Struthio camelus: one gene and its partners. The protein of the gene in region 3 binds, or shares a complex with, the protein of the main gene of each other region. Links are inferred from orthologs where the notes say so. Each region holds a gene or a part of one and is shown on either strand. Other genes may lie near its edges. The genes, in order: MKS1, AHI1 and CEP290.

Region 1 (10,952 bases), on a different chromosome or scaffold from region 3:
GGATACTCACCTTTAGGCAGCTCCAGGAAGAAATGAACATAGAGGTTGTCATACTCATAGCCTTGGGCTGAAACTGAGAGGAAGACAGAATGAACATTTAGCCTCTTGCTTCCACATAAACTCCTCCAGTACTCACTGCAGTGTGGGAGATGCAGCACCAAAGGTCTCAGGGATAGTCAGTTACTGCTGGAAGCTGGGAAAAGCCAGGTTCTTCAGCGCAACAGAACATGACCCTCAGAGAAGATTCCTTCTCAGGATGAGCCCTGTCCCTGCCACCAGATTATGGAGGTCCCATGTTTAATTGCTTTCTTTGCTATAATCTATATTAATTCCCCAATCTGTTCTCCCTTCTTCAGACTTACACGGTTTCCTACAACAGCTGCTGTGTTTGTAATCTCCAATCTGTTAATGCCACTCAAGGGATTAATTCAAAAAAAAAAAACAGGGGAGGAGAAGGAAGGAGGAAGAGGAGAAAGAAAAGGAGGCTAGAGAGAGAATCATCTGCTCTGGACTGGCCTGTGAACCAAGAATCCTTCAACTCTTTCTAGCCTTAGCCATCCCAGCAGACCCAGTTTTTGCCCCTACAGCAACTGTTAATAATAAGGACTCACCTACTTCTCCATTCACAAACAGCCGTAGCGTACCAGGAAGAGTCTATGAGAATAAGCAGATAAAGAAGATAAAAAAACTTAGCGACTATTGGTGGAACTCCTCACAACCCTCTCCCAGCAAGGTGTCACACAGATATTTCATGGCTTCTTGCACCTCAAGGCTTCATCCTTTAACCTGCTTCCTGCTGGTCAGGAAGGAAACCTGACTTCTCGTATTAGCTCACCGTCATTTCCAGAAGTGACCAGTCTCTCTGAATAGAGCCTCCCTAGACCAAATTCCCAGACTGCCAGAGTTCACTACTCTGTAAATTGGGGCTTTTACAGTACTTCAAAGTGGACACAAGATTCAGTCTGAAGTCACTTACAGTTCCCACCGTAGTGCTCCTGCACTAGCCCAAGAATAAAACAAGCACAGGAAGAGCTGAAACACACTTTTGAAGTACAAGAAGAAGCACAAAAACTTTCAGCTGCTGGGAACAAGATCTGAGCAGAACAGATTCCAGTCTGGGTAATTTGGTGATCAGTGAAAGCATACATGAGTTTGAGTTTGGAGGTGGGAAGACTGTTTAATCGAACGGAGTGACGCAATCTGTCTAGCATTTAAGAAGTTAATAGCAACCCCTGTCCCCCAAAATACAAACTTTCGTTCCTTTCTTCTCAGAATATTACAGTCAAAGGCCTCCAGACAACACATACAACCTCAGAGACTGCAGTGTCCAGGAGTCTGTGCTGCAGGTCTGACAGATGCATGTTGGACCTCCACAAGCATTGCAAATGGATTCCCTCTGCCCAATTTTCAGTAAGAAGCCACATGGTAAAAGCTGCCAACACATCCCCAGAATTACACGATCTTTGGAGACCGTGGTACACAGAGCAGCCATGCTAACCAGGTCACCCGGTGCCTACTGAGTGCCAGTGGTACTCACCATTTCAAATTCTGAGCCTACAAGACCTCTGAGGTATTCTTTGTGCCGACTATACAGCTGGAAATACAGAAAAAGTGGATTACAAAAACTGTCTTTTTGATTATTTGTTTTTGCTTATATTATTGCAAAAAAAAAAAAAAGGGTATAAAATAAAACCAATTTAAGCTGTTGATGGGCATAGCTAACAGTTCTTTTATCGTTATAGCAGATATAGAGTAATGTAAAAATTTAAGAATCTAATACAATAAAAGATGCATAACTGCTAACACTGCATGAAAGTTCAGCTTCTGAGAAGACCTTGTCAAAGGCCAATCTAGACAAAAAAGAAACTCCAAAGAATCAGCAGCTCTTAAATGACACAGTGCTAAAACCACAAGCACAAACTATTCCACTGAAATGAATGGATGGGAAATCAGTGCAGCTAAATCATGATTTCCTCACTGACCTCAAATGCAATAAGGAAGTGTACAAATCACAGACTGAGACAGATTAATAACCTATATAAACTGCCAAAGGCAAAAAGGCAATTCAGAAAGGTCAAGGCACAAAATTAGATCCAAGTATCCTGGGACATTAAGGGCAACAAGAAATCATTCTGTAATTATATATGCAGCAAGAGGAAGACCAAGGAAAGAGTTGGCCCACTGCTTAAAAGGGAAGGAATACCATCAGCAGGTGACACTAGAAAGACAGGAATGTAGGTGCTTTCTTGCCTCAGTCCTAACTAAAAACATCAACTGCAGTCAGTGGTCAACACAATGAATACCACTCACAAACGGACAAGATCTCAACCTAGACCAAGGAATGAAGCAGAATATTCAGGGAGTATTTGAATGAGCTGGAGTTTTCAAATTGCTAGGCAGATGAGACTCACCTTCAGTGACATTCATCTTGCCTAAGTTTAGGTGTCTAAAGCACTAATGTTTATGTCTGAGCTCCCTCTGCCAAGAAAGGAGAACTAGCCAGTATAATCAGTGGAAGCTGGTCCTTACATCTCTAAACACACGCTGCTCCCGTTCCTCCTCCTCCTGCTGCACTTGGACAGACGCATTCTCAATGGTGTATTTCCACAGCTCTCGCTTCTCTCCATCCAGCTCAATCCTGCAGAGCCCCAAAACACACGGGCAAAACTCCCCCATTAGGCAAAGAATAGGCCCAGGCAGCAATATTATCAACCATGCCATCCCTTCCCTACAAGGCCTGTGAAGTAACACAAGGGCATTAAAGACCGTCTCCTCGCTCCCAAGTGCCTGCCAGCATCAATGGCTCAAAAAGGGTCACTCACATCCTGCAAACATATAAGCTGTATTCCTAGGGGCTGGCTCCAAAGCCCAGATCATATGCCCAGTGACACCAAGCATAAATACACAATAACCTGTCTCAGGAGCCTCTAGAACAAAGCTAAAAATATCCCTCAACTTAAATGCTGATCCACTGCCTGAAAGTTGACCGGGGGTATCAATTTCGGCCCTCTGTATCAGTCCCGCTAGTGCTACCAGCCCTGTCCCACTCACCGGTAGGCTCCTTTTGTGCCAGTAAAGTCAGGCTTCACTGTGATCACACCATTGCTGTCTACCTTGATTGTACAAAGAACATGTTCATATTCCCTGTGACCAAGCCTAATGGAAGATACCAAGAAAGACAAACACAGTCTAAATAGAGCACATGTACACTTTCTTGTTCTGGAATAGCAGCGCTAGTAAATGCACATGGAGACACAGGAGGGAACAAACACACCCATACTTCCCTAGTAGTATAAGAAACCTTTGGGAAGTGCCTCCCAATGGAGGAAAGAGGAATGAAATAGTAGCTGGAATTACTGAGCTCTTAGAATTCCCTCCCCAGGTGATTTGAGTAGGAGGGGAGATGAGTTTCCATCTGGGAGACCAAATCAGTTCAAGATGTTACTTACTTTCCATAAGGTCCCAAGTCCCCCATGATGTACATGGTCTGAATAGGAGTGTTAATCACATGATTGTTCTTTATAAATTCTTCCGAGGGCTCCCAAGTGATGACTTTCGACTTCAGAGAACTCCCTTCTCTGTCAATGACAGGACAGCATAACCTGCATTTGTCAGACAATCAGATACAACACACCACAGCAGCCTGGCACAGACAGCACTAAACACTCCAGGATGAAAAGTCACAGTGCCAGTTCTGAGCACAAAAGCCAGTCCCTGAGAGCTCTCAGTATGCAGTTCAAGCTGCCAACTTCCACAGACCAGGTTCCTCCACACCTGAGGCACTAGTACCAAGAAATCTGCATTAGCAAGCTCTGAGCCCTAGTTTTGCACTCACATTGGCCTACGGTCTTGTCTTCTCCTCCTCACAGTGGCCATCCTCTCTGCCAGATACGATGGCACCTCATGAACTGAGTCAGTAACCTTCTGGCAGTGCTGGAAGAGAGAAACACAGTTAGAACTAGCCTAATTACAACAGGACATCCTTCTCAAACACAGTCTCACTCTTGGGGGAGAACACAAGTAGTTATGCACATACATGTAAGAACAAACTACTAAAACACTCTAGATTTCATTCTCCACTCTTGTGGCAAAGCACAGCTGAACTCCACCAGGGGAGAGGGCACCAGCTCTGGGGCACCAGGTAAACATACCACTTCTGCCTTGCAGAGGCAGTATGTTCTCCTGCTTTCATGATGTCTAGCCCGCTTCTGCATGCCTAAGAAATTATAAACATTCCCCTCTGCCCTAAAAAGCTGTAGGCTTGGCCTTGCTGACAGATACTGCTGTACAGATTATGTGTACCTAGGAGTTGGTACCTCTTCCAGGTTGGTGAATCGGTCATGATCAGTGTAGGTGAAGATGCGATAGTTCTTCCGACCTCCAGCCTTCTCCTGTTTCAGGATCTCCTCATGGTACTGCCAGTCCAGGGGAGTCTGACAGGCTGACTCATTTTGATACAGATCTACCTCAAACTGAGAGCACCACAGGTAAAACGTAAAAGCTGCACTTCATCAGCATGGTCAGAGCCAGAAAAGCTTTCCAGCTGAGATTTTTAAAGGCATCAAAGAGGGATAAGATCCTCCGGGAATCCCAGCCAAGAGCCCTATGTCCAGTATGGCCCTGATACCACTCTGGGACGAGGTAGCCCACAGCACCCACCACTGCCCTCCCAAAGGGGTTCAGACACAGCAGCTCACCCCAAGGACAGAAATCCTGAGGGGATGCACGGACAGGCGGGAGACATGGCTGTCTGGGGGCCGCAGAGGCAGCACGCTGAGGAGAAACCCAGTCAAACTGCCTCCCGGCCTGCATGCCGGCTCCCTCACAGCCACAAACGGGCGGGCGCCCCGACTAGCGGAGGAGCGGGCAGGGGAGCAGAGCGGCCGCCCGGGCGGCGGCAGAGCCGTGCCCCGGGGGAGGCCAGGCGCCGCCGCCGCGCACCCACCTGGCTGAAGAGCTTCTCCTGCCACGCCACCACGGCCTCCTCCTCCTCGTCCGGGGGCCGCCGGGCACCTACGGGACAGGGGCCGGTCACCTGCGGCAGCACCCTGCGAGGGCTGCCCCCGGCCCGCGCCGCCCCCGGGGCACCCCACGTACCGGGCGCGGGGCGGGCGGCCAGGCCGAGGAGCTCGGGGCGGCGCGGGCCGGCGGGCGGCGGCAGCGGGGCCTGCTGAAGGAGGAGGCCGGCGGACGTGAGCCGCTGGATGCGAACCCTGCGGGGAGGGAGCACAGCGTCAGGCCGGGCCGGGCCGGGCCGGGCCGGGCCGGGGGGGGGAGAAGCAGTCCCTCACCGGAGGCGCAGATTGCGCACGGGGTCGCGGGAGCGATACACGGCGCCGGCCGCGTCCGCGCTCCACAGCGGCTCCTCCATGGCCGCCGAGCGGGCCGCGCGCCTCCTCCCTCTGGACGCGAGGCCGCGGCGGCGCGTGAGGCAGCGCCGGCGCCAGCGCCCCCCGCGGCTGGCGGGCAGCGGGCGGCCCGCGGCGGCGGAGCGAGCCCGGCGGGGCGGGGGCGGGCTGCGGCCGCGGGGCCGCGGCGTCGGTGATGCGGGCCGTCCGCGCTGCTGGCGCCGTGCCGCTCCCGGACCCGAACAGGCCGCCCGGCTCGGTCGCGGGTTGCCTTTCCGGAGACTGCGTTGCGTCCTCGCCTCCTGCCCCCCAAGGCTGGCGGCACTGAAGGGAGGGGACGAGCCTGCACTGGCGTGGCTGCACTGTTAGTCTGATGTGACTTTTAGCTTTTTTACCATCCAGCATTGTGCTTTGTCAGCACAACTGGCCTTGGTCCTTCAGCAGCTCCCCAGTCGTTGTCCCTCCACCACATTTCTGACAGGCCTGTTTCAGAGTCCAGTAATCTCCGATCACGGTCTTTTAGATATTCCACATGTGGAGGGTGCAATGTTTAATTTCAGATTTACTTACTTGAAGGTATTTGACGTTACACGGGATTTTGATTTAGCAGAGTGATACAGCAATATACTGAAACCACAATACGAGCGTAAGTTACACTTAGCAGAATACAGCAATCGCAACATACAGTTAAATCCCAATACAAAAGTGATTCCCATTACTGGTCTCTGTAATATGCTCACCATCACAATGCTGGGCTTCCCCAGTCTCAGGGAAGAAATACGTGGATTGGAAGCAGCTCAAGCCCATTGCTCTCTTCAAAATTCCTTTTGCTAGTTGTTTAGGTTTCATACTCTATGTTGGGCCGAGTCATGTGTACACCCCCTGCCATGCTGGTCTGGCTAACTCAGGGAGACATTCACACTCTTTTGATTAACTCTGGGAGAAATATTTACATAACCTGTTGATCCACTCAACTGTGATGGAGTCAGTGGATCCACTTGACTGATACAGCCCTTTATCTAAAACAAAGGCTGCCCTCCAGTCCCCTTTGAGTTGAGATAAATTCAGCTTTCTTTGCAACAGCTGTGACCAGTCACACCTTACATTCTTCCCCGACCTTCACGGGCACATCACCCTTGCCCATATTCTCTGATCCGTCTTCCATCGTAGGCACTTATTGATTGGTCACAGCCCAGTACATCAATGTCTCCATTTAGAGCAAGACATTTCCAAGTGCCTGACTCCTTTCTCAGCCTTCTGGCATCCCTGTAGAAGGTGCATACTGCTCTGGTTCTCTTTCACATCCTGTGCTACTCCTTTCTGGGCCTAGTTTTCATTTCTTATGGGACTATTGCCTTCCCAACTACAAAGGATAGAATTTCTGTGGCCTCATTCACAGCGCATGTTTCACCCAAGGCTCAGGCTCTTCTGTCCTGCCACCTTCCCCTGCTCTTCAGTTTGGTGGGAGGCCCACCAGCCTGATCCCTTGTGGTTCAAACGACCATTTCTGTGCAAAAGCAGAAAGCTTGTATAATTGTATAAGAGGCAAAATGTCATTTTCAGGGCAAATATGACATTTTCATGCCACTAATAGTGCCTTGTGTCAGAGCAAACAGTAATAGGAGCTGCATTATAAGACAAACATCGGCAAAGCTCTGGCAACAGTTAGCATTTGAAATGGAAAGAGAAGACTTAATTATGTGGTAGATTCTCAACCGTTTTCTGCACAATCAGAGTTTAGAGCTATACTGCTTTTATCAAATTTGACCTGACAGTAAGAATTGAGCTTTCAACATTCACACGGCATTGCAACATCTTGTTAATTTCAATAGTCCCAGTTAGAACAAAGAAATCTTGGTGACTTGCTGCAGTTTCTAAACAGCTTGAGTGGGTACACAGGTGAGCGGCTGCCAAAAGGAAGCAAGGTGAAGGAGAAGTGCTGCCTCCTTCTCCAAGGAGCATATTCCTGCCACCTCTAGCACTTGGCCAGCTGCACGATGAGGTAGAAGTGATTTGGCTAAAGACTAATTTTCTAAAAAAAAAATGAGTTCCCAACTTACCGCACCATTACACACCAGACCCTGCTTATGAGAGCGTTGGGACTGTGCTGTTGAGGACAGAACTGCCTCTGTTGGCAGAAATCTGCATTTAAGGTGATTCAGTGTAGCCACAAAACTACAGCCCCAGTCCCAGAGGAGGTGACGACAGTCCCAAAAGCAGGCAGTGGCTATATCTTTTTGGATGAGAAAAGGGAAGATGTGGCTAAAAATTCACCAACATCTTCCCTCCTAGAAAAAAGCAGGATTTTGACCATTTGCATCTGCACCAGCTGGGATCCAATCACAGAGGGCCCCGATGTGTTTCCAGCCAGTATTTCCACTCTGTTGTGCTGAAACAGGTCAGAATCATGCAATCAGTTTAAAAAAGCAGGGGAATTGAAAGAACAAGTCTCCAAACTGTTCTATAATTTGTCCAAGTTGTTTGCAATCATTTACTTCTTTCTGTAATTGCCATTTTCAGCAATTTGTCCTCCCCAGGTGAGATGTCCTTCCATTAAAATCAACTTTATGAAATATTGCAGGCCTGTACATGACCAAATGTATAGATGGAACTGCATAATTTTTTGGCATAAACTACAGAATGAAAAAAACATCAGACAATCTTAATGCTGCCCTGTAATGTCACTGAACAAAAAATGAGTGAAGCAATCTAGTGTCTGCAGACTCACAGAAGAGTAAGCCATCATCTAAAGATGTCTTCTAGGAACATCTTTTCTTTGTGAAGCAGCAAACAGAGTTTGGCGTTGGCTCTGGATGCTATCCACAGTAAAAGATTGAGAGAAATCTCCCTTTGTGCAGGCATGGGGGTGGATGCCAAACACAACGCTGCTTTCTAGGCCTGAGAAACGTTGGATGCTGTCAGGAATGATAATGTTTCCTAAAACATTCTCTGCTGTCCCAAAGACCAACCTTACCCTGTATTTCCTTACTTATCTTTTTAGTGCAGGTTCCAGGATCCGATAAAACTCCTCTGCTGCCTTCTGTGTACTGCACAGGATTGCAGTATCTTTGAAGGAATAGCCATGCTTGATATAACTGATGGCGCATCCTGGTCACATACTCTGCCGTTTCAAATGTTTCCATATTTTTCTTTATTCTGTAGCCACCTGGCAATGAATGGGCACTTCCAGCCTGTTTAAACAACATTTCCAGTGTCCCATATGGCATAAGTATTTACATTCTTGGAGAATTTTCTCCATTACAGGAAACATGGCATCATATATTTGTTGGGCGTTACAGACTCCTTTGGTCAGCCATTCCTGACGATATAGTTCTGAAAATGGAAGACCGCAACCATATGGATGAGCGGATGGGAAGAAATCCAGGAAGATGCAGAAAATGTTCGGTTCATCTTGACTGTTTTTCTGCATTAGCTCCTGGGCACATTGGTACCAGTTTTCTTCTGGATGAAAATTCTATGCTTCATCAACCACAATGGGAAGTCCCCATTTAAGAAGGCAACATGTGTCACAGACGGGCAAGTCTCATTTCTGGGGAAAAAAAAAAAAGTATGGATAAATAAAAAGAAGTGATCAGACAAATCTGTATTGACTATTTCTCTGTTTCTTAGCATGTTGTTGGTTGGAGGGCTATTGCTGTTTACTATCTAAAAAAGCAAAACTTCCTATCTCAGCTCCAGGGTGCTACATCATTTGCAAGATGGAAATATTTATTTCCAATGGATTGGCTGTGTGCAAGCATTGCTACACAGCCTGCCCAGCCCCTGGCCAAATGGCTTTGGCTCTGCCCTAGGAGCAGGAGTCAAAACTCAGGCCCACCCTTCCTATATGGGGGCCTCATGGCAAGGCCCCCCCCAGGTATGTCCCTCAGTCCCGCTCTCCTAGGTTCATGAACCTTGTGGTCATGGCTGTGCAGCGCCTGAGCTCCAGCAGGAACGAAGAGTTCCCTTTTCTTCCCAGAGTGAGTGGGGACAGTAAGCACTTGTGCCAGGTGATCTGCTCTGCTCAGGCCAGGGATTATTGCTTGGGTATTGTAATGTCTGAAATAGGCTGTGGTTTCCTGATGCAAAGTGTCTAGTCCACCCATGGTGGCTTGCTGACCTCTCTGTGCTGACACAAGTGGAAACACAGTGAGAACAGGACTGGAGAAATGTTCTGGCTGAAATCCTCTACCAAAAAGGCATTCGTTCCTGTTATGCTTATCTAGATGGCACAAGTCCAAGGTCTACTTCATGGCACAGCTGCAAAAAAGCTTGCATCAACCCCAGCACGGACAATGTTGAGGAAGGCAGGTGGTCATTTTTGGTGTCAGCACCAGGCTTGACAATCAAGAGTGTTAAACTAAGACCTTAGTCATTTAAAGTCTAACACAATCCAGCATTCACTGAATGTGTGAGTCTCACTGCAGTTAGCGAATGCTGTATCTGGGCCAAAGCTCAGTTCATTCTGGTTTTCATTCCCATTCCTTCTCTTTTTAATATCCACACCTTTTCTCAAAATGATTATTGTGTGTTTGTGTCAGCCAAAGATATCTATTCGGCAAATGGATGCCAAATCAGCAGAACTTATTCTTTATGTGCAGAGAATGGAATGCAAGAAAAAAGGGGAAATATACACATTTCCACATGCTTCCTTGAAACTCCCTGCTTAGACAGTTTACAATTAACTGAATCTAGCTACTTCAAAATCTGACTGAGATTTAAAAATCAGACCAAGATAAAAACAAGTGAACCAAATTTCTTCTAAGTCTATGAATGTTTTGAGTCAGTGACTTGTGACCCTGCCTCTCCAAGGAAGTGAATGATTACAATGATTTAGAGCCACAAGACAGAGCTGCAGTGGAGGTGGTCTATTGGTTTCCTTGGAGTTGCTCTTAATTCTCTTGAGAATTAGTAAGAGGAGGGTTATTCTGAAGTTATTTTGATTTGATATTACTCAGGTAACACCAATTTAATCCAAGTGACCAGATCACTTCTTACCCTACAAACTTCTTCAGAGACTGATTTTCACAGTGGAAGATGTTTCTCATTTGCTCCATGATCTTCAAAGCCACAATTGTTTTGCTTGTTCCAGGAAGATCAAAGACAAATTGCTTCTTGACTTTGTGCAGGATCTTGGAAAGCATCTCAAACTGTTTGAGAGTGAGAGTGAGCCAAGACAGTCTCTTAAATAGGATCTAAACCTCATCACAACTATTACAAGTGCATACAGGAAGGAAGAGATGTCCGTTGAAGGGAGGACGCAATTCTCTAGGTACAGGTTGGAGTAATGACCTGGGTTTTCTTGGTTTTCTTGCTGGGGGGTGCCATCCCCTGGAACTTTCATCTGGTTGGTGGGGCAGTTCAGATGCAGCATTTGGGGAATCACACACACTTTTGAAGTCTATCCCTCATCACTGACTAGCTTCTGCTTTGATGCATAAGCAGTTTCTCTTGAGCATTCAGACTCAGCCAAAGAGGTATCTCTGAATACAGCACGCAGTACTGGATATGCATCTTTAGCTACTAAGAGAATATTGCACACAACGTCCTGGTTTTCCAGCAATCCAATGTCAACAGCCCAGTTTCTTGAAAATATCAGTACCC
Region 2 (11,319 bases), on a different chromosome or scaffold from region 3:
ACTGACCTGCTAAAAAAGGCTTTAAGAGAAAGAAAAGATATCAGATGAAACAAATCAGTAATTACATTTAAAAGAATAAATTACTTACCTAAGAAAAGATTGTGGCAAGTAGTCTGCAAATAAAAGACTAATTATCTATTAATCATAGGAGACACTAGGGAAATAATTCAGAAGAGTCAAATTCTCATCATAAGTCTTACTCAAAGCATAGTGTATAGCTATTAGACAGCATAAGAGAAAAACTATGTAATTAAAATGTATGCACACTGTTGAGCAAAGATGCACTAACAGTTCAAGGAGAACAATGATATTTTGAAAAGTTCAAAAGCAATAATGCTGCACCTGCTTGCAGGCAAATTCTAGCTCCAATAGCCAAAAACCTTCAGAGACATTAGACTTAAAGACATGTGCTGTTACACTGCCATCGTGTGGCGAGTTGCCTGCAGCTTTATATGAAGAGACAAAATGAGATTTCTTCAGCTGTTTCTTTGTATTTTTTTCCTCACCTCCATCCCTGGAAAGGTGATGGAACAGCTCATCCTGGAGGCCATCTCGAAGTGTGTGGAGGACAAGAAGGTGCTCAGGAGTAGTCAGCATGGATTCACCAAGGGGAAATCATGCTTAACGAATCTAATTGATAACCTTCTACAATGGGACAACTGGCTGGGCAGATGACAGGAGAGCAGCAGCTGTTGTCTACCTGGACTTCAGCAAGGCTTTTGACACTGTCTCCCACCACATCCTCGTAAGCAAGCTCAGGAACTGCGGGCTGGATGAGTGGAGGGTGAGGTGGATTGAGAACTGGCTGGATGGAAGAGCTCAGAGGGTTGTGATCAGTGGCACAGAGTCAAGTTGGAGGCCTGTAGCTAGCGGTGCCCCCCGGGGGTCAATACTGGGTCCAGCATTGTTCAGCTTATTTATCAGTGACCTGGAGGAAGGGACAGAGTGCACTCTCAGCAAGTTTGCTGAGGATACAAACCTGGGAGGAGTGGCTGATATACCAGAGGGCTCTGCTGCCATTCAGAAGGTCCTCAACAGGCAGGAGAGTTGGGCGGAGAGGAACCTCCTGAAGTTCAACCAAGGGAACACTTGCAAAGGAATAGCAACATGCATCAGTCCAGGCTGGGGGTTGACCTGCTGGAAAGCAGCTCTGCAGAGAAGGACCTGGGAGTCCTGGTGGACAACAAGTTGACCATGTGCCAGCAATGTGCCCTTGTGGCCAAGAAGGTGAAATGATATCCTGGGCTGCATTAGGAAGAGTGTGGCCAGGAGGTGGAGGGAGGTGATCCTCCCCATCTCCTGAGCCCTGGCGAAGCCACATCTGGAGCACTGTGTCCAATTCTGGGCTCCCCAATACAAGAGAGACACGGAGCCACTGGAGCGAGTCCAGTGAAGGGCTCCTAAGATGATGAAGGGACTGATATGAGGAAAGGCTGAGGGAGCTGGGACTCTTCAGCCTGGAGAAGAGAAGACTGAGGGGAATTCTGATCAATGTGTGTAAGTATCTGAAGGGAGGGTGTCAAGAGGATGGGGCCAGACTCTTCTCAGTGGTGCCCAGTGACAGGACACGGCAGAGGCAACAGACACAAACTGCAACACAGGAAGTTCCATCTGCACATGAGGAGAAACTTCTTTGCTGTGAGGATGACTGAACACTGGAACCGGAGAGGTTGTGGAGCCTCCTTCCTTGCAGACATTCAGAAGCTGCCTGGACAGGATCCTGGGCAACGTGCTGTAGGTGACCCTGCTTGAGCAGGGGGGTTGGACTGGATGATCTCTAGAGGTCTCTTCCAACCTCAACCATTCTGTGAGTCTGTGACTCTGTGACTTCCTAGAGCCTGGGTCTCATACTGGAACTATTCTTAACCACATCCTCAGTAAGCTGTTTACTAATTCAGAACTAACCATAACAGCCTTTTGGACTATGGATCAGTAATAGGCGTAGCAGAAGCCAGGGGCAGGTGGGACTGTTAGATTTATTGCTAGGTACCTTTCAGGCTGCAGTGATAAACCGAAGATCTATACACCAGTCTCTTGACCCTTCGGGCTCCAGTTTTAACATAATCTTGAAAGTCTTCCGTAGCCATCCACAGAAAAATAGGGGCTTTAATTTCTCTCATTCACAAACCTGTAACTAGTATCAACCTTTATCAAACCCCAGATTTCCTTCAGGGTCTACTGCAAATCAGATGGCTGAGGCCTGAAGAATAAAGTAGAAATCTTTCTTCTCCTAGAATACCGGAAGGCGTAACCCAGAAGGAACACTCTTTTGATATATGGTGGAAAAAAGGTGAATTGAACATAAGAGAAAAGAGTAGATAGATGAGAGAGAAAGAGAGAAAAATGTTATGAAATGAGGAAAACTGTCAGTTGTAAGGCTTGGAGCCCTGGGATGCAAACCTAAATACTCTTTGCAGCTTTGCTTTAAAAAAAAAAAAAAAAGCTCCAGTGAACTAGCATTAGTATTGCAACCAGCATCACTGGTGGAGCAAGACCAGTAACCAGTAGTACGGATCACTTCTTGCTACGAGCAGGGATACAAGCAGAGATCACCCTAAAGTTTTACTAAGTATGAGTGAGATGGTCATTTTGGAAGTCAGAACGAGCTAGCCACCCAACCCTTCGCTTACCCTGAAGGCAGGAAAGAGTAACAGGTACACTCCAGGAGAGAACAACTAAGTATTGTATGTTATGTAGTCTACCTCTGAAATGCCCTGTCTCTTCCCACCCTTCAAAAGATACTTTTTGTTGAGCTAATTTGTTTATGTGAGCATTTAATTTTTTCAGGTTTCTGGCTGGAGAGGTTGAGACTGTTTATTACTGAACTCATTAAAATATGAATCCAGCTATTGTTGCTGCAAGCCGAGTCCTGGCTGAAGAGTTAAATTTTAGGGGCTGTTGTTTATTAATTCTCACTTAGTATGCCTCGCAAATTAGCAAAACTAATTTGTGTAACATGGGAATGATTCCGTTAGAGAACTGGTGAGTGGCAAAACATCCTGATTCATAAAAAATGTCTCCTGGAGACAGACACCAGGATAGGTGCTGCACTGGTATCACATGGCAGACTGCTCTAGAATATCTGCAGATGTGCAGTGTGTGTAGCCTTATGTTTATGGGGAAGGACAGCATTTGTGTGGCATTATACCAGGTAACTGCGAACCTTTGCAAGGGAGGTCTAAGGTTGCAGTAGAACATGGTATGTGGAAAGCTTTTGGGAGTCTGTCTTCACCATTGTCCTATAACAGATTCTTAAGAATATATCTAGTTTTCAGCACAGGTTGTTACACCATGTCTGACACACTTGGCATAGGGCTACTAGCCACAGTCCTAGGGACAGCTGCCTCAGCAGAAGTGTCAGCCAAAGCTCTAATAAAGCACTGGAAAAGGCAGTGCAGCCCAGTTCCAAGTTAGTTAAGCATAGCCTGTGGAGGTATAGTAACTACACTAGGGTTAAAACAACAACCTTTATTTGACCCCTGACTAGAATATAATTCGGAAAAGCCAAGAGAATATCAAACATCCAAAACAGAGCTGGAGGCCAAGCAGGGTGTCAAAGGTTATTTTGGATAATATCAGACACTTATATTTAGGCTATATTTAGAAGCTAAAAGTCCAGAAGTGGCAGAAACAGAGCTATGGTAGAAGTTTGGAGCAGAAACCATGTAGGCCCCATTCTCATATTCTCTAATCGCAGATCCTGATTAATAGCTGCAATTAAACCACAATAACCGGTAAACTAAATAAGGTTTGAGGTCTCATATGCAACTGCCCCCATTGTTCAATTGTCAGCATGGTTCTTGACAGTTTTGAACGGGGCCAAGTAGCGCTCTCTTGACAATGCTATGGTAAGACAGGTGTTAGCAAAAGTCAACGATTATTATACTCAGTACTGCCTACAAATGCAGCCAATAAAGCAGCACCTGCTGTCAAATCTGAAGGACAGAATGTTCTGCTGCCCTTGATAATGCATTTTAAGTTACCTTTCAATCCTTCTACAGTGAGAAGGTAAGACATTCTAAAAGAAGTAAGCTGGTGTTGCTTTAGTAAGAGACAAACATCTTTACCACAGCTCTGTCCCTTCCCTTGAGGAAGCTATTGAAATAGCTATTTCCTATTGAAATAGGAAAACTAATAAACACTCTCCCTGACCTGCAAGATGTCCATGATATAATATGCAAATGGAGAGCAATTCTAAGTTATTTAGAATATTAGTTAATTACTGCAAACAGAGGGTAAGAACAGTCCCTGTAGGTTTTGACAATTCTGTCACTATAGTCAACATCCTATAGAAAAATCAAAATCATTATTATAAGAATGCTTTTTTTTTTTACTCAAGAGAGCATTGATGGACATTAGCAAGACTGCAAGAATGGTAGTTACTGGCAGAGGTGAAGTAGGTTTCAGTAGGTTTCACAGCTGTATTAAAAGCCTTTTGCAGCTGTATTAGAAGCCAAGGTTGAAGTTCGGACTAGGGCTTGTTAATAATGCTTAGATGCTTGTTAGAAACTTAGATGGCTGGCTTGCAAATACTTATGAGGCTACTCTTAAGTCTCTTGACACTATTATAATAGAGTTTCCTGATTGTACCAAAGTGTTAAGATTGGTATTGGTGTTCGGGTTCAGGGAAAAAGGTTTTGAAGAGGTAACTTTTCTGCTGGATCCTAAAACAAACCATGGAGATAAAGTACGGCTAGTCGAACAGAGTAAACACATCACAATAATCATCAACCAGTATTCTCTTTTGGGGGACCATTTTGACACGTACTCTGTATTGAAGGCTGGGGCTAGGATTTGCATCAGAGTTTGGGACATACAAGGTCTGGAAAAAACTGTTAGGTTCCTTTTTTCCTGAATCCTGCTAGACCACAGACGTAGAAATTTACCTGTAGGATGGAAGAGGTGGCATGGAAGGCTTCTATTCTTTGCTGGAACTTCCTGGGACCACAACGCCAAAATAAAGGCTGCCGCTGACTGAGATATCTAGCTTACGACTAGCCCAGAGACCATTAGGTGGTCAGTAGAATTTCAGTAGAATCGGTAGAATTTCTCATAGCTTTAAATATAAAAAGGATTAACTTCCACATTTGGTTCTAGTTTGGTTGGTTTTCCATATTTTCATTTTAACGATAGGGACAGTCACTAGTAACCAAGAAGCTCCATATTACAGGGATTCCTATATATCAGTAATAAGCAAAAATGAAATTATCTGAACCGTGAGAGGCAATAGTTGTCCTGCTAATACCTCATTCCCCTACCAGTTGAACATTTGCATGCATTTGAGAAAGAGGAGGGCAGAAGAGAACTGGAAAAAGAAAATAGCTTCTGCTATTAATGCATCTTGAGGAGCAAACAAAGAAGGACGTATGTTCTTTTGACACAGATGGTGTATCTTGACAGAATTCTAGGAACTGTTATACCTGAGAACAGCGAATGTCACAACCACAGTATCACAAGCATTCACTGACCTCTAGGTCATACAAATGGTACATGGTCAACTGAAAGTGAACTGAAGACTAATTTTGCCTGATTTGGCTTATGAACAGATACAGTCACGCTAATTCAAGACCGGCATTGATTTCAGGAGCTAAAACAGTGAGCCCTCTAGCGTTGAAGAAACCTGCAACATCCACTTACAAATAAGAAATGATCAAATCTGTCTTGATAATCATCAGTATTTAATTATACCTAGAGAACAAAAGATTGCTTAAATTAGCAACTAAATCACAGAGAAAACAAAAGTTTCTGAAGCATCTGTCTAACTTCAGTACATACGTCTGTGCTGCCATTTGCAAGAGCAGATGTCTTTGCTCTGCAGTCCACGGAAAAACTCCCGATTGCAATAAAGATCTACTAGCCAGAGACTTTATTATTCTAAAATAACTTTCACTGTTAGTATGAGCCCAGAGAAGGGTTTTGACTTTTGAAATGAACTACAATTTAAGGTATCTTTACGGGACTGCTCTGTTATTAAAGCTTTCCACGGTTTTTTTTCCTGTTTTAACTTCCCACTTTATGTTTTTCAAGAAGGGGCTTATCAATCTGTCACCCATTAGAACGCAAAGCTACGAACAGGCTCAGGACGCCTGAGCAACTGCAGAACTAATGAAAGCTTCTGACCTTTCTCTGTTTTGTAAAATACACTGTCCTGGTCTAATAAAGAGATCTGTGCAAGGCACATCGCTCTTAAATGATTAGTATTTCTCTCCCATTTTCCACACGCAGTCACGTAGGCGCAGCGAGCAAAGGCGGGGTGCAAACCGGGCCAGCGCACTCCCGCGGCGGAGAATGTTATCTGAAGGGCTTGTCTCGGCCCCCGCCACCTGCCAGCTCCGCCAGGCACCGCCTGGCCGCAGCCTGCGGCGGACCCGGCGGCGGGAAGCGCCTGCCGCCAGGCGGCCCGAGCACTGCCGCGAGGCCGGGAGGCTCCGCAGCGCCCTGCGCCGTGACGAGTGGCACTACACCGCGGGAAGCGGCGCCTCCAGGCGGCGCCTCGGCGCGGGCGGCAGCAGCGGCCCGAGCGCTCCTGGCCAGGCCCAGCCGCGCCGCGCCGCGCCGCGCCGCCACCGCCGCCTCGGGGCGCCAAACGCGAAAACGGACGCTGCCCGGCCCCGCACGACGGCGGCCCCACCCCCACCAGTCGTCCTCGCGCATGCGCACGAGGAACACCGCCGCCCCCCCGCGCGCCCCACAAACTGCCGAAACGCCTGTCGAAGCACCTGCCCCCGCCGCGCAGGCGCGCTCCGCTGAGCTCCGGCAGCTCGCCACGCATGCGCCCCGCTGCCGTCCAGCCGACGCCCCCTGTCCGGCAAGAAGGGCCGTGTGGGTGCCCCACCTAATCCGACCCGACGTGAAACCCAAGCCGTGCGGGCTCCCCGTTCCGCCCTCCTGCACGCATGCGCGCTGTTTCCTTGGCAGCTTGTAGTTGTTTTCGGCAAAACCAACTGCGAGGCACTGCGAGGGGGGGAGCTCGCGGGATGAGGGAGAAACCAGTGACGGGGGGAGGCAGTACAACGGCAGGACGGAGCCGAGCGTGAAGCCGACAGGCCAAAGTGAGTGATGCCCTCGCGCTGCTGAGGAGCTGCCGGGCGGGGGCGGGGGGGAGCGGGGCGACGCCGGGCCGTGCCCCCGCTGTGGGCGGGAAGGCCGCCGTAGGGCCGCGGTCCCGCCTGGGCGCTGCCGCCGCCCGTTTACGGTGCGCGGCTGCTGGAGAGGCGGGTAGGCTGGGGCACGCCTCCCCGCCGCTGCTCCCTCCCCCGAGCCCCCTCCCCTCGGAGTCGCCCTATCCCTCTCCCCTTCCCCCTGCCGGGGGCGGGGGGCTCGGGCTGGGGGTTGGCAGCCGTTACAGCGCGCGCCGCGACGCAGCTGTTGGCGCGCGCGGCAGCTGCCGGAGCTCGCGCGGGCGGGCGGGGGGCGCCCCGGTCCCATGCGTTAGTCCCCTGGTGCTGGATGCTTCTAGTGGCCCTTGATATCTCTGTTGTTTTCCGTTATTCCTCTAGGCAAAGAGAAACAGCGTTCCGGAAATAAATACCTAAGCGTGGTCTGTTACCGAGAACTCATTTTTGTAATTGTAATCTGTGATAAGGCAGAGACTTAAAACTGTACGAAGTAATCAAGTGAGATGTACTGCTTTATAGGAAACTGAAATCCATAGTTTTGCCGTTAGGGCAGGGACGGATTTTAATTCAACCTTCTAACTAACGAAAGGTCCCGAGAGTTCTGGAAAAAATGACGACTACTCAGAAACTAAAGTTTTCTGGTATGTTACTCGTGCACAATTCAATGGATAGATAGCATCAGCGCTTTTAAATGTTCTTTTAAAGTAGTGTGGACACAAGTTTGTTGCAGGTACGTCTAAACAGCTAGAAAGCTGCAGTGGCTCTAGTAATACTTTCGATACGCTGATTCATAGGTGTTTATGTGGTAATAATAAGGCTTTTAAGAAAGCTGACAGCCAATGCCACTTAAATAACTTTCATGAATAAAAATGGGCTCCTTTTTGGTATCACATCCATCATTAGTAAATAGGGACAGATTCTTTACTGTTACTTTGCTGTATAATTATGATTTAAACCTTTCTCAGCTCTGAAGAAGAAGTGATACCTATAAATATTTAAGTGAGTGATACCTATAAATATTTAAGTGAGAAACCTACTAGTAAAACCCAAGGTATCCCACTATGATGACTGATCTAATTTAAAAGTCTGATTCCATTTGTTTCTAGTCACTGAAGATTACATTTAGTTTTTGCAATAGTGGAAAAATATGAGATTTAGTTCATTAAAATTCTGAAGGATGCAATTATAGTCTATCAATTCAGTTTCCATAGCGATCTTAATCGGATAGGGGGGCTTGTCACTACCATGTAACATTGAACAAATTGTGTATGTTCTCCTTCATTACGATATAGATTTGACTTTTTTTCTTTAGGGGTTAATGAAATTTTCCTGAGATGCGTGCTTTGTGATGTGTTTGGGATAGAAAACATCTCTATGACAGATAACAAAATATAGCTATTGTGAAGACAGCAATAGCTTGATGAATTGGAGAAAAAAACATTTATAAATAAAGACAAAATATTAGAGGACAGCAAATTAGATGATTTTTCAGAAAGGTGCCCAGTAAATTCTTGGAAGCTTTGGCTCCATGATTTTGTTTTTCTGGCTATTCTCGATGGCTGGAATTGACTGTTCCCAAGTGTGATTTTTTTTGTCATTCCTGGAAACATTGTCTTATATTGGCTAACACAGAAAAGATGAAAGTTGATCATGCAGAAATACCACTGAACAGATGCACCTCAATGACAACTGAATTTATTCAGATCGGGGTACTGTGGTTGCTGAATTTGTGCGATTAACTCTCTCCTATTTTAAGGTGAGATTATACAGAGCAAACACCCTTGTTCTTACCCTTGTCGATTAATGGGCTATATTTACACAAGTTGCTTTAATGCGCTATGTCAAAGGTTATGTAATTCTAACTTGGAAATATGTTGGAAATAACAGCGCTGTCATAGGACTTGCTAAGATAGATATTTTTGCTGAGTAAATAGAGGTAAATATAGAGTGGTGAACTCACCGGTGAATTTGGTACGTTGTATGTTTTGCAGAGGAATAGTGGTGGAAATAAGACGGGCAAAGCCCTTGGAGAGGCAATTGTTCAATGATAAGCAAAAATATCTGCAAAATTAATTTGTCTGTAGTTTTTTTGTAGTGTGATTTATTTATCATTTGGCTATAAAATTATTTTCATACTTGGAATAGGTATACACCATGCTTACTTTGCAGTTTTGTTCTATATTGTTCCTCATATTTTTTTCTTTGTATTAAATCTAAAAAGCATTGGTTTTTTTCAAAGGTGGTTGAAATCACTAAGCTAATAATAACAGCAGTTTTTGTGTTTCTACAATCTGCAGTGAATGATTAAAGTGACAGACTCTGCTATATTTTATAGCTATATTTCATTTTCTGCACTTTCAAATTATAAATATTTTCCAGCTGATTGTGAATTCAGTAATTGAAAAGCAGCACTTAACAGCCATGGGCTTTAGAATGGGCTTTCTATGTACCTAAGTATAAACTTCAAAGGCAGATTCATTTTTAATCATGTTTTCTTCTTCATATCTTGTAAGAATTAGGCGTTTGTGTTACTTTTAACTATTACTGTTTTAATTGTGACAGTAAAGATTTGCTTTATCAGGCAAAATACATTTTAGTAAGGGAAAATACTGCTACCCTGTTGGTGAAATGATGAAACGTATTATGGAACAAAACATTTTTTTTCCTCCTCTGAAGGCAGCTCTGGTCAGCCTTGCCCATTTCAAACATGCTTAGACTGTAGGATAGTTAGTATAAATGCTTTTGCTTGATACACAAAATAAACTAATGAAACCTGGCAGCTGACTAATCAGTACTTTTGTAATTCCAAACCAGCCTCAGGTCTTTTCCTTTTTTGAGTGGTTATTGTTTTGGGGTGGTTTTGTTTGTTTGCTTATTTGTTTTGTTTGGGTTTTTTTTTTTTTTTTTGATTTGGCTTGGCCAGTTGGCAGACTAGGCTACTGTAAGCAGTAAGTAGCACTGTTTGGGGGAATGCTAGCTGGCTTGGACTAAAACTGTGCCAGGGATAATTTAACTACATAGACTGGCAATATTTGCCGGTACATCTTAATTTACTAGGATGGATGTAGGATGTACTAGGATGTACTAGTCTGGGTGTACTTAGATAGTAGGGTGTAACAGAAGGTATTACATGAAGAGAACTTGGAGCTATTGCCTAACAGGCTATTGGTGAGATAGGTAGGTATAATAATTTATTGCATGTAAGGCTAAGGGGAAGGTAATACACACATAGGAAGCTAGGCTTCATTAGTTCCACTATTTACAAAACAATTGTTTGGTATTGAAGTTTTTTGTAAAACATATCAAATTCTGTTGATGAAAAGATAAAGCTGTATAATATTATTTGCCTTTAAGCTTTACTTGGATTGCATTTTTAAGCTTTTCTCCCCCTCCAGGAGGGCCTAACATTTTTTCTTTAAAGAAATGACTTTTGTGTAACTGCTCATCTGCTCTATGTAAAATGCAAAGGATTTATGTAAACGTAAATATTTAGAAATTTGCAATAAAATTAGATTTACTGGCAGCTATGAATCTTTGCACTGGAGGCTATCAGCTGACTAAAATGTTGCTTTCCTGATGATGTTATCAGGGCAGGAATCTGATAGAAAGGCTTCTTTGTAAATGGCTTTATGGATAACTGTTTAGATAAATCGTGCATTTTTTTAAAAGATAGAAGGACTATAGTACTGAGATATTTGGCTGCCCAGGAAAAAAAGTCATTTAAATTGTTGTAGCATTGTTTTTTATTTATTCACAAATAAAAAGCATCGGATTAGGGAGAAACCTGCGCTGAGATGGTAGGGCAGAGAGCTTGTCATAACTAGGGCGAATATTTATTTTCAGGCTGTTTGTGTTGTATGCCTGAATTGAGGCCTGTACTCATCCTTGATATTAATTTGCATGCATTAAATTTGTAGTATCAAGTCTATGGACCAATTTGTTCATTAAAGTTGTTAATTACTTTAAATAGGATGATGAATTCGGAGGAAGAAACGGGTAGTATGTTGAGCCATTCTTAATTCAGAACTGAAAATGCCACCAGGTAAGATTATTTTGTGTTTGATTTCTAATATGTATTTTATAATCAGAACTAGATGCGAATGATAGGAGTTACTTCTATCTATAAATTTGTAATGCGTTGACTTAGTTTTGAGTCAGTGTTCATAGCTGATTTTCGAGGGTTTTTTTGCCTTTTTTTGGT
Region 3 (10,449 bases):
AACGACATTAAAGATAAAAGGTCTATTAAAAAAAGGCTTGCTTACCACATTTGGCTTGCTCTTCCCCAGCTTTTTCAACTTCTTCTAATGCCAGCTCTACCTCCTGAGCTTTCATCTGGAAAAAAAATAGTAAGTAAGAAAAGAAAAAAGGTTTACTATTAGCATAAGTTAACAGACGGTTCCACATACCTCGTGTTCAGAATTTTGAAAACATTTACCAAAAAAAAAAAAATAATAATTTTCTCTCTTCAAACAAATATAACCACTTACATATTTTCACTTCGCTGATGGACACATGACAGTTAGGAACTTTATGTTGTTGAAATATCACCTTTATTCTATTTACCTATCTAAACAATCCAAGGCTATGGTTAAGAAAAATGACTCAAAAAAGCCTCTCTAAAAGCTATGTGCTAACCTCTGCGGCTTTAATTCCTTGCTTCCAGTATATTTATGAGTGAATACAAGACAGCATGATAGATTTACAAAAATAGTTTTAGGATAGATGTGTTTCTTCCATTAACGGTGACATTTATGCAATTTAGGTTATTCCAAAACATCAGACTGCCACAAAAATTTTTAATAAAGTTAAAATCATTACCAATAATTTACAACACCTTACCTATTTCTGAGGTATTTGCTTGCATTTTCTACCTATAAAACTAAGCTTCCTTAACTATACAACTGCTTTAGTTCTATTCTCTTCAGTTCCCACTGGTACATGCTACAGTCCTAACAGCTGTAAGCAGGAATTCAGGTGCATGCACACATTTAGCATATAACTGCTCTAAGGAGTAAGCAGTGTGTCCAATGCAGTAAAAAAAAAAAAAAAAAAAAAAGAGTGACCATGCTTTCACTTACATAAAATAAATAAACTACAGAAGTGTAGAAAGTAAAACAAACCTTCATTAGGGACTGTGTAATTTTAAAAAGATGTATCAATTGTTCAGAAGCTTCGTTTTTTAAGTCTTTTCCATCAACCTAAGGAAACAGACAACAGTATTTTTGTATTAACGTCAATAGAATTTAAAAAATAAATCATTTATTTATGTGAAGGACCAGAGAGAGTTGAGGGAAGAAAGTAAAACAAAACCCTTCTGTTCACTGTTTTCCCCTTGAGTACCTTGGACATAGTCTCCAGCAATCTATCTGCTAGTTCCTCTTGATGAGGAAGAGCATCTGGATCAATTTTCATAAGCTTCTTCCAATCTAAAATGGGTGCCATGTTGAGTTTATAATATTTTTCCTGGAACAAAAATAAAAGTAACAATTATAAGATGTTATCACTGTCAATAAATCATTCATCGAATGATTTAACAGCGGCAGGCCAGTGAACCACATAAGATGATACTAAATAGCTGTATGGATTTTGTAACACAGATTAACACCCTGTTCACATTTCGGTCTACTGTAACCAAGAGGTCTATAATAAAACCTTTTTTTAAGCTAAAAATTAGACCAGACACAATCAAAGAATTCGTGCCACAAATACTGAAGATGACCCATGTGAAACCTTCATTTTAACTCTTATTTTTTTTTTGTCCTTCACAATTTTCTAATGCAGCGCCCCTATGTTAATGTATAAACACTTGTTCTTGCAGCTAGATGCTCTTTTTTAGAACTAGCATTTGCAGCTGCTGTAGGACAGAAATCTCCTTATAGTGACAAAATCATTATTTCTTATGTTTAAAGCACAGCACTTGCTTTAGTTTGATACTATTCATATCCATTTGTTGAAATTCATTTGTAAGACATTGAATTCTTGTATTAAATATCCTTTCCTTCTGATTAGAGTACCTGAACCACAAAAGTACAGTGAACCATCTGGAAACTGATGAAAATCTAATCTGGAAGCGGTGCAAAGTTTTGTTTTACAGTTTACCTGATAGTTGCTGCGGGTCACAGTGACTTCCCATAGGCCTGGAGTACCTGAAAAAGGCAAAAGAGAATGGAAGTCTTGGATTACTACATTCTCCAGAGCTGTTCCTACCGCCATATCAGCAATATGTCGAAAGCTGAATTCTGCCAAGTTTAAAAGGAATATTTTTAGTCTACTTACATATTGCCCTAAATTAAAAATCCGTCTTTTAACGGTTCAGAAAGTTAAGAGAGACATAAAATTAACAAGAATGTTTAGTTCATTAATACTAAGTAAACTAATAACACAAGTGGGATAGGTATTTTATGATGGGGGGGGGGGACTTCTCTCAGAACTACAGCAAAGCTGTAGATTGAGTATAGTATTTTGATATCTGTTCATCATTCACCCTGTTCACATTCAGCAGTTTGAAGACTCAACAACTGAAAGTTCCTTCCTTAATGAAAGTGATACTATTTTCCCAGGAAATATGCCTATGTAATCTGAAAGAACTGGAAAACTCTGAACTCCTAGTGTACACATAAGTGAGGATAAAAATCAAACTCTTCTCATCTGCTTTGATGCATGCTACTTGACAGCTCTCTCTGTATTTATTGTTTCTTTAGTTTTTACTAAATGTTTTAGAAAACATGCATTCTATATAATCCATGGCTTCCTAACAATATCATATACAAATTTTGCTTTTCTGATTTTCCTAGAGGACAAAGGAAAATACCAGAAAATCACATGCAGGAGACATTCAAAATGTCAGTTCAGCAGATGCAATGAAGAGAAGACATATTCATAAGGATAAAACGTTATTAGAGCAGACAGAAGAAATGACCATATCATACCACAAATATAAAAAGACTGAAAAAGACTAAAGGGCAGAGAGCACAAAAGAGCTAACAGCATCATAAGGATATGGACCATAGTCAGTGAATGAGAAATATTTAACTTAAAATAGTAATTAATACTTAAATTCTGAGTTCATCTCTTCAAACATAATGGAAGGCTTTCAATAACAAATATGTACCCAAAAATCTGAGAACAAAATCATCTTCTAATAGTCTTTCATTTAAAAAATATAATAATAGAGAAAGAGCATACTGATCTTGGCACACCTACTTCTTCAGTTAACTGAAGGCTACTTAATTTCAAGATCCTCACTAACTTACTTGTTTTTTTTTTTCCTTTTAAACACTTTTTTTAAAACAATTGAGAGGCAGAAGTTATGAATATGAAATGCCTGACAGTCAAAATTATTCTGAGAGCATTATTACAACCTTATTACTGACACTGTTATCCAATCTTCCCTCTTTAAAATCTTTTTATTTATTTACTAAATAATGTCTTTAAGAAAACAATCTGAAATTGTATTGAAAGAGATAGATATATATCTATCTATAATATATGTAAACAAAATCCAACTTGTTGGGGGACAACTAGAGTAAGCTCTTGGGGGCACAACCTAAACGTACAGTACATTCCACACTATGTATATACTTGAGGACAACAAAATAAAGATAAGTTATTCAATTGAAAAGTGTTCCGTCCTAAAATTTAGCTGACGCCTTCCCCTCACTACAGTGTGTGCCTTTTAGCTGACAGATCTGGGTGGGGAGAGGAGATCACGGTTCTGTAAAAGCAGTTAAATATACATGAGTTTGACTTTAGTTAACACAAGATTTTCTTGGCTTAGCTAGGGAACCAAGCATATATAAAACATTCTGATGTTAGAGAGTTCTGTAAGGCAGATAAAAAGGGAAGTGTGGCGGGCAAGTTCAAGTTATAACACCCAGTGCTGCCTACAATAAGCCACATGAAGAGAAGACAGCTAAACTACCATGCCGATACACTATCTTCATCACAGTGAATTAAGCAGCATTAGGAGGAGCCATTCCTCTTCCATAAAGGCACACGTAACATGCAATACAGAGCCACGTACACTTGAGCAAGACTAAATACTAAAAAGCAGCACAGTCGTGCAGGAGACACACTCTGCTAAATCCTTAGTTATTTACTCTAGGAGGATTATCCCAGCTTAGATCTACAGACTAGGTTATCCAGAACGAGCTCTCCTATACTAGCAGCACACAGGGCTGCACCGCACCACGAAGCCACACCCGAAACGGGATCCCGTGCAGGCTTCCCGTTTCTTTCAAATCTGTATATCGCGGCCCCGGGAGTGACAGCGAGACACACACCGCGACTCCTCCGCGATGCTGCCGAGATACAATTCCGCCTCCACTTCGCCCGCCTCCTCCGGAGCGGCAAACCACCTTATTTCGTGTCCGCCTTCAGGCGGGGGCGGAGGTGACGCGCAGCTGTAAGCGGAGGCAGCAGGGCGCAAACGCGCACCGCCCCGCAGCGACCCCCGCACGCGCCGCGTTTGTAACGGCGCTAACGGCCGCCGCCGCCCCGCACAGGTGAGCCGCGGCCCGGCTCCCCGCTGACCACGGCGCCCCCGGGGCAGAGCCGGCAGTCCCGCGCGGCGACAGGACGGAGCCCCGGGACCTCGGCCCCTTCCCGCAGCGCAGCGTCGCCTCCCACTCACGACCTCACCGCTCCCCGAGGGCCACGATGGCGGCAGAGGCCGCTGCTAGGCGACGCCATCAAACACTCCCGCCGGCTCCGCTCCCGGCGACCCGGATCCTCGTGGACTCGGGGGCGGGCCAGGCCTCCCGCGGTACTACAAGCCCCACAATGCAAGCTGAGCACCACCGATGCTCAGCATCGCGGAGCGGCGCGACCCCCGCGGGTGCGGAAACGGGGGCAGGGCGGGAAAGCGGGACGGGGTGGGGAGCCATCCCGCCCGGACACGCGATTCACCACGGCGGCAGGCGGCAACCTCCCGCTGCTGATGGCGGACTACGTGTCCCAGCATGCCGTGCGCCTCCGCCGGGACTACAGATCCCGGCACACCTTGAGGACGTCCAGCCACTGACTGAGCGGTTTCCCGACAGCCCTTGCGGGGCAGGGGTTGCCGCCGGCCGTCGCGGGGCGGTGTGCGCGTGCGCAGTGCGGCGGGGCGTCTGTGGCGGTGGCGGCGGCGGCGGCGGAGGGCGGGCGGATGCGCACCGGGGTGTGGGCGGTGGCGAGGGCGCTTCGTCCGCGGCCTCAGGTAAGGTGGGGAGCGGCGGCGTGGGGGGCCCTCCTTCCGCAGGGGGCACCGGGGAGGGGTCCGACGGAGCTGATGCTGCCCGCGGTCGTCCTCCGCGGTGGGGGTAGGTGTCCTCTCTGCCCTGGCCGGGCGGCACGGGCCTCATCCGCGCCCACTCCGCACCCGGCCGCGGAGGCCCGGGCTCCGGTGCCGCCTCGGGGCCTCGGTCGCGCAGCCGGCTCCGGGGGCGGGCAGTGGGCCCCGCGCTGCGGCTCAGCCCGCTTCTTTCCTCACGGAGGCACCGGCGCCTTCGTGCCCAGCGGCGGCCGTTTGCCCTGCCCCCCCTCCCCCAGGCCCCTACCCCCGGCCTCCCCCTGTTGCTGCAGGCAGTGTGGGCCTTCCCGCAGGGGTGGCTGGCTGCGGGGCTGCGGCACTGCCCAAGTCCCTCTATCTGTGTATATGTGTATAAATAAGCAGGGGCTGCGGCACTCTCCAAGTCTCTCTATCTGTGTATATGTGTGTGAGTAAGTATATAACAATCTCTCCTCAAAGGATAGTTTGCAGAGCAATACGGGAAGGATCGCACCTATAGACTGGTTAGGTCTCTTGACTCTGCCGGTGGTCTGCAAGGCCCCGTGAGCGTTGGTAGTGTCGGATGGCCCCAAAGGTTTGGGATCCTGCGTTTTAGCTAACTGGGCACGAACGTACGTTTTCAAATAAAAAGGGGGAAAACAGCAACCATTGGAATTGTGTTTATGTCTTTGTATTCATTCAGCAGGAGTGCTGAAAGCTCAAGATCTTTTTGTTGGCTCTCTGTACTGATGGAGAGGGGTGATCCTAATGTAGTTTTCTGACTTTCTTGATATTAGGCTTTCTCTAGCTTCATGATTTCTTTTTCTTTGCTATCTCTTAATCAGTGTTTATATTTAATGAAGGCTGACACAACTCAAGACGCTTGGCACTCCTTACAGTTATGTAACTTGTTCCAGTAACATTTTAACTCTAATTCTTGAATGAAGGTAAAGGCTTTTATACCTTTGACAGAGGCTGGTTACTTATAGCTCTGTAGTGGGGAAGAAAAGGAAACTTTGTAATTAGGGCAGGAAAAGAGAGACAGGACTATATTTCATGAATAGGTAATGTGACTAAAAACAAAATTCATCGTTATTAAGTGTAAATCAATGATTTCTTTAGTTGGAGGAGCTTTATAGGTGGAGGTGATCCAAAGAGAATAAGTTTGGCACAGAGTTATGTGGACTTGCTGCAGGATGAGGTTTAGCATTTATGTTTGTGTTGTCGTGTTACAGAATCAAAAAAACAAAAAAGCTACTACATGTACTTGTAGTGCAACCACATCTAGTTCACAATTGTGTAGTATAGATAGTCAAGAGGATTGCTGTAGAGCTAAAGGGGATTTTTGAAGTAGGCATGATAACTTTAAAAAATGAAAATAGAATGGAAAGAATGGAAGTAGTAATCCTACATTAAAAGGGGAAATATACAAAATACAGAATGGCTTTGAGAAAGTGGATTTTTTTTTTTGTTATGCCTCACACTTAATCATGTGGTAAGAGTTTTATAAGTGCATCTTCTTTTGGTGAGAATGCATGCTTGTAGATCTGGAGCCAGAACACATTTAAGTTGTATCATAGGCAGCTTGACCTACCCTGATACAGGAGTTGGGCATCTGTATTAAACCACAGTTTTGATATAGTATGCTGTTTCAAAAAGCTAATACAAAAACTGCAGTATTACAGATCTAATAAAATGTTATTTACGGAAGAGGCACATGTGGTCCAAGCATACTAAATAAGGACATGCATAGCAGAGTCTAAAGGCTGCCTTTTCAGCCTATGCTACCCATGTAGCATACTCTGATCTATGGAGTTAATGAACATGCAGTTAATAGTATTGTATTTCTGAAGCATTGAGGGTGTTGATCTGTTTGATTAGCATTATTTTAGAGATGTGATATTTTGCATCTGTGTCTTAGGAGGAAACATTGCATTATATTCTTGCAGTTATTCTGAATATAGAAGGTATTCTTTTGTTACTTTTTAAATGTATAGCTTAGTAGCAAAAAAAATTTAAAGGCAGACCTAATGAGTTATTAAGTCCTGTAAGAGTTAATTATTTTAAGATATGTATTATTCTTGTGTAGTTTGTATTTCAGCTGATTGTTACATCAAGTGTATTGAACAAATTGAAACTAAACAATGCAGTATCTTCTTATTATCCATTTTTACACTGTATATGTTTTGATACTTGTTTATACCAGGGTACCTAAAATGTCTGAGTTCTGGTTCAGCTGGCTGATTGCCAGCAAACTTCACAGTCATCCCCACTCTGAAACTTCTCCTCCTTCCTGCACCACATGTTCTGACTCCGAGTCAGAATTGGCGTTCCTTAACTAGTTGATACTTAATAAACTGTGCAAAGAGAAAGCTGGAGGCTTTGAGAGTGTAATGTATCCCCCTTATGGGGATTAGAAAATTATGCAGATTAGTCCCACTTCCCCTTGATCCTGTGGTATTTGCAGAAGGAGGTTGCTCCATTAAAACTTCTGTTAATTTTTTTCTAGTCTAGGGTCCCAGCCAGAGGAAGGGGAGTACAGGCATGTTTTGTGTTCTTCCTCCTTCTGTCTTCCCAAATACTGCCTGCCATATGCTATTCTAACCCAATCATTTAAACCTCAACTGTGGATCTAAAGTGCTTCAAACTGAAGTTGAGCCTTGGGACAGCATTTTTAGGAGAAGATAAGTTTAAAGGCTGTTTTGAAAAGGGACAACAGAACAAACAGAAATACAGTATATGATCTCTTTCTATCATTAAACAGTGATACTAAGTCAGCAGACAGAATATTTGGTTTAACAAAAATGAAATAATTATAGAAAGGGGACCAAGAAGGCAAGACAAGTGAGGCTACAGCTTCAGGTGCTGGATTAAAATAACTTTTTAAAGTGACTAAACTGCTAGCTTTGGCAACCTATCGTATATGTCTGGTATTCACCAATTCAGCCTTCTTTGTTCCCCCCCCCCCACACACACCTTTCATAGTTTGAGTCACTTTTCTGTGTGAGCTGTAAATACATTTCAATTAGTTAGGGAGCCTCAGTTATTATCAAAGTACATGTCTCCAGAGTAACTGAGATGCAAGTCCAGTTCTGCAGATCTCTTCCATGTATGTCTGTGTCTTATGCTGGCTTAGAACTCCAAGCGAGAGAGTGGGGAATCCACATGTTATGATTAGGTATGTACACAAATGATCATTATTATGTTTACAAAGGTTTTTGAGAGGCTACCTGATCCCTGTGCAAATTGCTTGTTTTTTCATTGCCAGCTGCCTCATTAATATAACACAGAATTAGGCTCCTTGAGATAATAATTATGCTTCACATTGCACATGCAAGGCACTCTTCATCAAAGTGAGCCTATGGAGTTTTGCAGACTGGCCACACTATTGCTTACATTGTCTATAGAGAACAGTTGCAGTTTGATTGTGGTTGAAAATGCTGTTGTCTTGTAATGAAGCTTTGGTATGACTGAAAGTGTAAGGCATTTTTTTAATATCTGTGAATATTTAATAAAATTGAGAATGAGAATATTTTCAGTGTATGAGAATGATAAAGTTAAGTCTTTAGAATGCAGTAAGATTCTGTTGTGGACAATGAATAAGTTGAATCATTTTCTAAGTTTCAGTTTTCTGATGGCTTGTTACTTTTGTTGGTTTGAACTGAATTTTAAATTGGAAGCCAGAGATATCAATAAGATGTCAGTTATGCTGAGTGTCTTCTGAAGTAGTAAGTCCTCTCATCCAAAAGCTGTAACAGTTTTAAAGTTTGAGATGAATTTTAATGATCTTGTCATTAGATAAGATCTAATGATCTCTAGAAATCTTGAATGGGATTAAGTGTATGAGCTTTTTTCCCATACAGAAGTATTTCCTTTTTTTTCTCCCCAATTCTCTATTACTGCTGCTACCCGTATCTTTCTGAAGAAGAAAAGGATGAGTTGCCTAGAGCATTTTCTTTCAAGCAGGGTTCACTGAAACGTAAACTATTCTTCATGCCAGCGGTGCGGGGGAGGGGGGGTGTAAAAAAGGTAAGTGCCATTAACCAGTACAGTAAAATTTTTAAATATGTTTTCAAGCTTCTAAAAGTAGGTCTTAAGTTATATCTAATCAACACAAATGTATTATTTGTTATTTCCTTCTGCAAGGATTTATTGTAAATGTAAGGTGGCAGATAGCATATTTATTAGCTGATAGTTAACTATGGAATGGTAAATTGCTGTTTTATGTTTAGGGATTGCAGCTGTATTCCTGCCCAAATTTATACTTTCTAATTTCTCCTAAATCCATATGGGTAGAAAGTGGCTTCCCACTTCCCAAATCTCCCAACTGAGGATACCATTGGAGTGTCACTATGTGTTCGTTTGTGCATGTATTTGTGTTGAACTTTCTGTGTAGACAACTATACTTTGTAGTGTGCTGTCCTCACCTGTCTATGGTATCATGGAGTTGATAGTGATTGTTAAGAAACTTTTTGTTATTTTGCTACTTTTCTAGAAGTGTTTTGGCTTTTATGTCATATCCCGTTCTTGTCTATAGTTCTTGAAGAAGAAAACTAGATGTACTGGCAGAGGGTTCTCAACAAATTGGAAGAAGAATACTATCTTACAGGCCAAACCTACTGGAGAGCTCTGGATCATGAACGCCTACTCATCTGTCTTTCCTGCTTAATGGCTCTGTACAGGCATGAAAATAGTGCAATGCAAACTGTAGATTTCCATGCAAGCAGCTTGACAAAATTAGACTAACAATCAAGTATTTTGCACAGCTGGGGCATTCTGTTTTTTCACAAGCAGCTCTTGAAATCTTGCAGCTTCCATCTCACAAGGTGTATCTTGCTGCTTGTTGTTTTAAGCTGTATATTCTTCATGAGGCGTTCAGGTATCATTGTAAATTAAAACAGCAGTCTTGGAAGTAAAGCATATGTCTGTCCTCACTTCCTCCAGTCAAACAGCGACTTTGTGGCAGTTCTGTAGATTGTGAGTGGATAGTCACGCTGCCCGAGGGGTGATTTGATGTGCAGTCTTGCAAGCTGTGAAAGTAAAGGTAACTAAAGTCAAAATATAACTTGACTTACCATCAACCTGTTGATCTGTGTAGGGCCAGTCAGTGATATGGTTCTCCCTCCCAGAAAGCCTGTGTTAGCAAGACAGGTTGTTAGGCAGCATGTTTTAGAGGTGTTTATCAGTATATCCATCACTGGGAGTGGTGAAGGAGTGGCACCGTACTTGGGTTGATACCAAATTTCAACATGTCTCTTTGGCAAGGATGATATCCACTCACCTTGACTCATTTGAGGACCCCTGTGCATACCAAGGCTTCTCTTGCACATCTATGATCTGTGAGGTTCTTAGTCTTGCATACTACGTATATGACTTCTTACTTACCAAAATCAAACTGATGACAGCTTTGTTGGCG

The links.
Region 1: CEP290 (region 3) and MKS1 share a complex: the UniProt entries of both Homo sapiens proteins name them as parts of the tectonic-like complex. The link is inferred for Struthio camelus from reciprocal best matches to the Homo sapiens genes CEP290 and MKS1.
Region 2: CEP290 (region 3) and AHI1 share a complex: the UniProt entries of both Homo sapiens proteins name them as parts of the tectonic-like complex. The link is inferred for Struthio camelus from reciprocal best matches to the Homo sapiens genes CEP290 and AHI1.

The regions. Positions count from the first base shown.
Region 1 is NC_090957.1:9,051,620-9,062,571, forward strand, and holds the start of MKS1 (tectonic-like complex member MKS1), read right to left. Parts: upstream 5,432-10,952; 5' UTR 5,372-5,431; coding exon 5,292-5,371; intron 5,214-5,291; coding exon 4,946-5,213; intron 4,473-4,945; coding exon 4,317-4,472; intron 3,934-4,316; coding exon 3,836-3,933; intron 3,603-3,835; coding exon of another isoform or gene 3,579-3,602; coding exon 3,450-3,578; intron 3,157-3,449; coding exon 3,052-3,156; intron 2,639-3,051; coding exon 2,530-2,638; intron 1,595-2,529; coding exon 1,538-1,594; intron 655-1,537; coding exon 612-654; intron 74-611; coding exon 11-73; intron 1-10. UniProt on the Homo sapiens protein: Component of the tectonic-like complex, a complex localized at the transition zone of primary cilia and acting as a barrier that prevents diffusion of transmembrane proteins between the cilia and plasma membranes.
Region 2 is NC_090944.1:73,413,089-73,424,407, reverse strand, and holds the start of AHI1 (jouberin), read left to right. Parts: upstream 1-6,734; 5' UTR 6,735-7,052; intron 7,053-7,456; exon of another isoform or gene 7,457-7,759; intron 7,760-7,788; exon of another isoform or gene 7,789-8,874; intron 8,875-11,088; 5' UTR 11,089-11,150; coding exon 11,151-11,160; intron 11,161-11,319. UniProt on the Homo sapiens protein: Involved in vesicle trafficking and required for ciliogenesis, formation of primary non-motile cilium, and recruitment of RAB8A to the basal body of primary cilium.
Region 3 is NC_090942.1:49,139,753-49,150,201, forward strand, and holds the start of CEP290 (centrosomal protein of 290 kDa), read right to left. Parts: upstream 4,751-10,449; 5' UTR 4,424-4,750; exon of another isoform or gene 4,066-4,423; intron 1,930-4,065; 5' UTR 1,883-1,929; intron 1,247-1,882; 5' UTR 1,226-1,246; coding exon 1,124-1,225; intron 982-1,123; coding exon 904-981; intron 116-903; coding exon 46-115; intron 1-45. UniProt on the Homo sapiens protein: Involved in early and late steps in cilia formation. Its association with CCP110 is required for inhibition of primary cilia formation by CCP110.